Linked DNA regions of Tribolium castaneum. The protein of the gene in region 2 interacts with the protein of the main gene of each other region in a pairwise test. Links are inferred from orthologs where the notes say so. Each region holds a gene or a part of one and is shown on either strand. Other genes may lie near its edges.

Region 1 (4,120 bases), on a different chromosome or scaffold from region 2:
CGAAAATTGCAAATTATTTCTTTTGACCAAAAAAATCGGCGTTTTCTTTATATTTTTTTCTAGAAAATTTCTGTTTCACAAACAAATAAGCAAATAAAAATTATAATTGAATTTATTTCGATATTCTCGCAATGAAATAACGTAACTTGATTGGGCAGTGCTAGGGTTTTTTCTGTTTCGGTGATTAGTAATTAAAAAAATGATTAATTATTGTTTGTGCCGCGCAAATTGTCTGAAATTTGGATCGATAAAAAGTTGATTGCGTGATCGGTTCGAAGGGTAGAAATAATGACAAAGTAGTGAAGTAATAATTTTTAATAATGGTGTTTGGCTCTGATATTAAAAACGGTCAATTAAAAGAATAGTGTCCGGACTTTGGTCAAATTATAAGTTGGTCGTAATTTGCGCACATTAAATTACGACCTTAGCGAGGGTTGACAGTTCATTTACTTAAGAATGCATCCATTAAGTGCTGTTACAATGTAATCGATAAGTGTAGCGTTATTATTTGTAATTATTCCGCGTGATTAATAAGTCGAGTGTTAATTAGTATAATTAGGGATAATTCCGTTGTCAAGTGTTTGTGCGTATGGTTTTACGGTCTTATTAGAAAGATATTCGTCATGCGTTAGATGTGGAGATAAGTCGTTACGGCATCACCATAAGAGGTACGATGTCACGAGACTAGTTTTTCGGCCAAATTCCCGGCCAGTAATTGGCTGTTAATTCTTTCATAATTCCATAATTAACTAAGGAGACCATCCCATATCGGGGCGGCACGCTCATTACATGCAAAAATCAGTCGATTTTTCTGTCCGAGGTCCGCAAGATTGAGCTTTTGTTTAATTCCGAGATTAATTAAAAACGCGCGTTTGAAGTGAGCGTTCGCCCCTGTTCTAGATATTGTGTTCTTACCTTTACTGTTTGCGATTTGAGCTGCTTGTCAGGGTCTGGGATGTAGTCTAGAGTAATTCCGTAAAATTGGCCTTTGTTTATGTACGTGATCCTGTCGTCTTCGCGCCTCTGCGACGTCGAAATCGGCGTTTCCAACTGGTACTTGAAGCCCACCGGCGAAAATCTGGAACAATTGCCGTTTGTCAAATTTGCGAGTAGTCAAACAGGCTCTCTGATAGTAATACAACTGTGACATAAGGCACTCGTATCAAGTGACACTGTGCTCGAATCGAGTTTATCCAGTTCATGGCAGTGGACCATATTGCGAGGTCATTCGACGACTGATCTTTCCTGTTCCTCAAATACTCACATTTTTGGGATTTGGATTTTATCGGCGTCGTTTTGACGGCCGAAATCGTGCCAAGGCCGACTTCGACTCGTCGATTGAGATCCAGGAGATTGCGAACTCGAGCTGTTCCGTTGCGAAATCGTCAAAGGGTCCAAAATGTTCGGATTCGGACAGATCTCTGGGTACTCGTAGTTCTGAAACAAATGACACTTTTACGACCTCGGATACCTTCGACAAATAAGGACTACTGTGACGCAATTAATGCCACTGGCGGAATCGCAAGGGGAATAACCGCGGAATGTATGCACTTACATCAAATCTTCAATCTTTTGCTCCCATTTTGGGAAAAAATAACACGACTATGCCAGATGGCTTTGTTTTGATACAAGTAAATGGCGGCTGCGTTACTTGCCACCATCAGATTTGACATTAGGCGAAAGCGGGGGACCGGAGCTGAACCTTGCGGCACACCTGGCCCCAAAGGATGTTCCTCTAATTTGTTTTCGCAACCTTGCGATTTTCAAAAATTTATTACTAACAGGGGCGGATAGGGTATCCGAGAATAGAACTGTAATGCAATTACAATTGCAATTACATTTTGCAACCACTTAAGCCCATTTTTGAAACATAACGTCCTAATTTACAATATGTATTAGGGTTATTCGTTGCAAAGCCATGCAGAAAATCGTCGAATTTATGTTACTTTTGCATTTTTCAAAAGTTAACAAACGTCAAAACTTAGAACTTTACTAAATTTTAACCATTTTTGAACGGTGTTTTGAAAAATTTTGTTTGAAGTAAGCCAATAAGTCACAATGATATTAAGTTTTGCCTATTCAGGCGTTTTATCTCGCATTTTAGAAATGCATAAGTCTGGGATTAACTCGCAAACATTCTAAAAAACAGTGAATTGAATTAAAAATTAAAAAACAGGCACGTTATTGTGCCTTTTTGGCAAAATTTAAGTAAGAAACACAGTTGTATAGAGAAATTTCGCTAAAAACTAACCGGAAAATCTCAAAAATTGATAAAAATGGCGAATTTTCGAACATTTAGATTTTATCTAAATTAACAAACTGTGTCAAAAGTCATATGATATTATCATTTCTGTGTTATATTAGCACTTTTTTTCACCCAAAACGCTATTATTCGCAAAAGTTTCGTTTAAAAATTACCCAATTGAAAAAGTCAGTACATTTTAAATTTTGCTAAATCCGCCGAAAACATTATTTTACGGTTTTAGAGCTTTACGGCAAAGGAAAGCAAAAAAATCTCTTAAGTCACGAAAATCGAAACACAATTATTTGGCGAATTTTTTTGAAAATTTGTCAAATTGAGTCGAAAACGGGGGTTTTTCTCCTTTTCAAGTGCTCAGTGTAAGATTTTGAGCTAAAAACCCAGTTTTTCTAAACCGTTCCAGAAAACCAATAAATTCTGAAATCCTACACAGAGACAAAAATATTTTGTTTCAAATAAAATTTATTTAGTTCAAGGAAATTTATTGGTTCTAAATGGGCAAGAAAAAATTTGTTTCTTTAGTTTTATTTAATTTTATTTATTATAACCATAATTTATTAAAATAAAACAACATTTCTTTAATTTTAAATAAAACTTTAGTTTTCATTTAAAAACAATTACTTTCAATACACAAAAGTGTTATTTGGTTCAATAATCAATAATTTCAAACAATCAATAAATTATTTAATTCAACAACTTGAATTGTTCCATTTAAAAATATATTTCCTTTACGGAAAATTTTAATTTGTTTGTTTCGTTTTCTTTTAAAGAAATATTCACTTTTAATACATTAAAACTTTGTTCAAAATTCGCATATATTTATTTGAATCTATAAAATTATTTGTAGTTTCAATTATATTGATTGTTCCTTTAAAAAATCTTTCTTTTAGTAAAATTATCAAGTTGTTTGTTTTAAATGGTAATTTTTTGATAGGAGAGAAAAATTTTGCAAAATTTTGCAAAAAAAAAAGTTTCACTGTAACAAAAAATTAACGTAACATTGTTACGAGTTTTCAATTTTTTCAAAAAATTTCTATATTATGCTTAGTTCAGTACCGTCTCCAATGTAATGTAGGTACATTTAAGGGCCAAAATGCAAACAAATATATCTTTAACTGGAAATCGAATTCCGTATATCGAAACTGAATTTAACAAACTACAAATTAAATATACACTGAAATTGATTTAAGAAACTGTTTCTTTAATTCAAAATTATTTTGCATTGAATACAGATCAACTTTCATGACATAAATGTACTACTTTCATCAAACATTTCAGTTTACTTGGCCCAAGATTAAATTTTCTTATAATGAATAACATTTAATTGAATTGAAATAAACGCAATCAGCAAAATTTAAAAAAATGCTTTTCTCTGTGCATAGAAAGCAAAGTAGTCCTTACCTTTTTTATTTTTGATTTACAATAGAAAATTGGCCTATAAGGAAAAAAAAATCCCCTATTCGCTCGTGGTTATCAAACGACACGTGTAAAAATTAGGAAAATGAGTGAAAATTTTTGGGGGTGGCGTTTTCGGGTCTGCCTGGCTCACCTGCTGCAGGGTGTTCTGGTCGCGGGGGGTGATGGCGTCGGCGCCGATGCCGCTGTCGGGACTCGGCAGGTCGACAGTGAGTCCGGCGGCGGTGGCGGCGGCGATGACGCCCTTGCTGTGGTAGGGCTGCCTGACGTATCGCTCGACGAAACTGGCGGTGGTGCCGCCGCCGACCTCCTCACTGTAGGCCTGGCTCTGGCGCAGCTGCCCCGAGTAGGCGGGCTCGGGGGTGGCGCCGCCGGAGGCGACCGTGAAGTACTCGCGGTAGTACGGGTCGGAGACGAACGCCGCCGCCGAGGTGGCGGTGCGGC
Region 2 (3,886 bases):
AATACTTTGTTTCAAATGATAACGTCGTTAGCGCTGGTATTGTGACGTCGCAAACTGAAAGAGTGCAACTTTAGTAGTGTGAGAATTGCAAACACGAGAGTTGCATCTTTCTTTATAAGTGTCTGTTGTAAGTATCGAAAATTAGTTTGAGACAAAATGAGGTGAAATTACATAAAAATATTTTGATTGAAGACAAAACGAGGTGAAATTACATGAAAATATTTTGGTTGATAAGATTTATTACCTAATCGGAATGACTCATGAATGAAACATGTGTAAGTTACGATTTGATGAATCTACACTTACAAAATTTAATATTAACACAATAATGAAAAATACCAGCTTTGGGCGTTTTTTTACAACTAAATAATTAAATCGTGATCGGAAAAAGTAGATTTTACACCGACATAATGATGATAACAGAGTATACACGAGTTTCGCAATGGGACGTTCCAACGCTTTATTAGATATAGGATTATATTTTAATCTGATTTTTCTCTAACGTCACGGTCTCGTATTTCATTGTTTTAGGAATTAAGTTAAATTCCCAGCTTTGTTGAAAAGTAGGAATCTGTATTTGATTTCTTCATAATTTTTTTATTGTTCCTTAAAATGCAACAGACATCTACAGCAATCATGCTTCGTATGAAGTAATTACCGTGCCATTAAAACACGAACGAGAACGCGTCGCAAAAAGTGGCAAAGCGGCGTGAAATCTCGGAAAAAAAATTAGGTTTTCACTCGTGGTGTAATAATCCACTCGTGAAATAAAGCGTCCGATTTACACTCAAACTCGTTAAATAATAGTATTAGCTAATGGAATTTATACTTTCAATGAGATATCTAATCATTAATTTAAAAAAATAATTCGGTAAAATGCGTTGGCGTTTTTATAGTTTTGAAACAGCTGATATATTACAAAACAAGTTTCATAAGACCAGTTTTAAAGCACGAATTCAGTGTAAAAAACGAGTGGCGTCAGTTTTTTATACTGTTTTTTGTAATTTGCACCCTTTTTGTCGTTTTTGACCAAAAGTTGTTATTTTTGTCGATTTAGGGATTTTTGTGACGGTTGGTAATATCCCAATTTTGAAAGTGAAAAATTAAATTAAAATTTTTGTTTTATTTAAATTCTGTCAAAAAACACGAGCATCAAAGATTATAAAGGTAATATAGCATGAACGCTTCTTGAAATTTGTGAAATTAGAAAAAATACGGTCTCGAATTTGCTTCCTGCCAACCTAAAAATTTTCGTAAAATGTTCCGTCAAATAATGACTGTTATGACATCGCACTTAATGACATTTAATATGCCTATAGTCCATTTTTTATATAATAAACTGTCAATGTCAAAATTCTGATAAAGACCAGACTGTATCACCCTAAAAGTTCATGTCCAGCCACTTTTGAAACTGGCTGTATTCTGTATTTGACATTTTGGACATCAGATTTGACATTTTTGAAAATTGGACGTTAGAAAATAACTAAATGTGTTGTTGTACGTGTTTTAAATTGGAGACAACTTGTAAAATTTGGAAACTGAATTTGGCAGCTAAAAAATTACATCAACCTTATTTCAAAAAAATTACTATTCATGATAGTGCCAACCTGACGGCTTTAAGACAGTTGATTATAAAAAAATCGACTATATTAAAGCATCAAAATGGCGGCAAATTATACAAGTATTTCGTGTTTGCTTTGGCAAATCTTAAATAACGCGCCAAAAGTGTATTCGCCAATGAGAGCGTCGCTCGTTCAAATGGACCAATTACGGCGAACCACATTTGTGATAACAAAAATGGCAGTGTGACGCAATTTAAAAAAAATCATAGGATTGAGTTTCGGTTGCAAAGCCAAATTCTTTATGGTCTTAAGGTTTTGTGTGTAAGTTTGCATTATTTATAAATATTTTGTCTGTATTAAGTAACTCTGACTCATAATATTTGCTGATAAGTGATAAAAGAAATGTAACCACGATTCAGATAACCGGCTGAAATCGCATAAATGATAACACAGGTTTTGATTGCACTATAAAGAATAACCGACACTAACCCCAAATTTGCAAATGTAATACCTTACATTTATCAATTTTAAGGTTGAGCCATGTGTGTCTGGTGCGAGTTGAGACTCGCTCAAGTCAGCGAATGCGACCGTAAGTCTCTTTACCCAACCCTTCGTAATAAACATATGTGGATATCTTCACTTAAACGTTTCAAAACCCACAGTAGTCGAGCCCTCGAAGCTATCTGTCATGTGTTTATCCCACTTTTCCTTTCAGATTAAGGGATTGGCTGAGGCTGAAAGCAAATTCATTAATCTGAATGTTGTTGTCTTGCGATTTGACGCTTTTTATGAAAACAATGGGATACTACATCCTATTTGCCCGCCGGTTTATTCACACACGATCAATAACTTGAGTAAGTATTGACTCAAATTTTCGGGTTTTTGACTCATTTTCTCTAGAAAGCGCCCTCACGGGCGAATTAAAAATCGTGCGAATGGACCACTGCACCAGCCCTGCGAAAGGGGGCCGAGAGGTGTTTATTTTAGTCGAGAGAGTCACCAAAAGTGAGTCAATTAATTGTGAAAAATTGTCAATTCATTTATTGGTTTAGAGAACATTAAAATACGCTTGTATGAGTTGGACGACGATGACAACATCTTGTGGGAGGATTATGGCCGTTTCAGCGACTTGGACGTCCACCACCAGTACGCCATTGTCTTCAAAACGCCCCCATACAGAGACCCCAACATCAAATCCCCGGTTAAGGTTTATATTGAGCTCGAACGGCCGTCCGATCGCTCCCGAAGTGAGGCGAAAGAGTTCACTTACACCCCCAGTTCAAGTGTTTATAAGCCGGGTGCCAAAAGAGCAAGGACGAGTTATGACACTAGTTACGATTCGTCTTTACCTAGTGATGAATTACCGCTACCGATCAATAATTTATGTATCGATAACACGCCAGGTTTGCTTGATGATGTTCAGTTAGAAGTTACCAGTGATGACCTACAACAAGCGATGACTAACATTGATTCGGAGGAGTTTCGTCGATTGTTCAATGAGTTTGGACAAGACTATTCATTGGTGGTGGATGCACCCTCGCAGTATCCCAAAAAAAATGCCCCCAAGGGGGGTAACAAGAATAGGTCAGGATTGTATACTTTGTTTTTTTATGAGATTTTTGAGCTACTTTGCGCCCTCTGGTAACGATTTTTTGCGAAAATATTGCATCAAAACATTGGTAAGAGACTACAACATGACTATAATACTAGTCAGGATAGAAACTTGACCATATAATTTACCTGTCATTAAGTTTTTAATTTTGGTACCTTATCATGAATAAAAACAATTAGCGGTTATCATTTTATATATTTTTCATGATTTTAATTTCCTTACCACAATCTGAACACAACTGAAATGTCAGTGAAGTCGCTAAATTTTTTACATTCTAATGGCATACTAAGTTTTATCGCCCGCCAAAAACTAAGTACTTCTAGTTAGATAAGAACAAATATTTATTTTACATTTAATTTTCAAACGTTAATTTGTAGTTAATTTAAAAAAAAACGTATGTAGGACGGAAGTAACAATCGAACTAATTTTTGTTTCATTATTGGTATTTCACAAAAATTTAAATGTAAAATATTGAAACCAGCTCAGAAAACGAGCATTTATTTTTTTTTTCAAAAATCTAGGAAAGAGACTACCAAAATAATTTTAATGTTGAACTTATTTTAAATATAAATGAAAGTAATCATCTTGAAAGCCCTCTGGGTTTGCTTACTACATTTTCTCTAATGAAAAAATACATAATTCTTTTTTATTATTACACTTTCACTGTAACATACATTGTTTATTATTATTTCTCATTTCATTTTGAAAAAAT

The links.
Region 1: the proteins of Rel (region 2) and grh interact in binary tests that used the Drosophila melanogaster proteins (3 or more experiments, as listed by UniProt). The link is inferred for Tribolium castaneum from reciprocal best matches to the Drosophila melanogaster genes Rel and grh.

Annotation. Positions count from the first base shown.
Region 1 is NC_087403.1:7,764,934-7,769,053, forward strand, and holds part of grh (protein grainyhead), read right to left. Parts: coding exon 3,810-4,120; intron 1,453-3,809; coding exon 1,265-1,452; intron 1,079-1,264; coding exon 916-1,078; intron 1-915. UniProt on the Drosophila melanogaster protein: Transcription factor that binds a CNS-specific regulatory element of the Dopa decarboxylase (Ddc) gene. Also interacts with sequences adjacent to other transcription units, including Ultrabithorax (Ubx) and engrailed (en).
Region 2 is NC_087400.1:6,389,375-6,393,260, reverse strand, and holds part of Rel (nuclear factor NF-kappa-B p110 subunit), read left to right. Parts: intron 1-2,277; coding exon 2,278-2,416; intron 2,417-2,462; coding exon 2,463-2,567; intron 2,568-2,614; coding exon 2,615-3,146; intron 3,147-3,886. UniProt on the Drosophila melanogaster protein: Transcription factor that plays a key role in the humoral immune response as part of the peptidoglycan recognition protein (IMD) signaling pathway.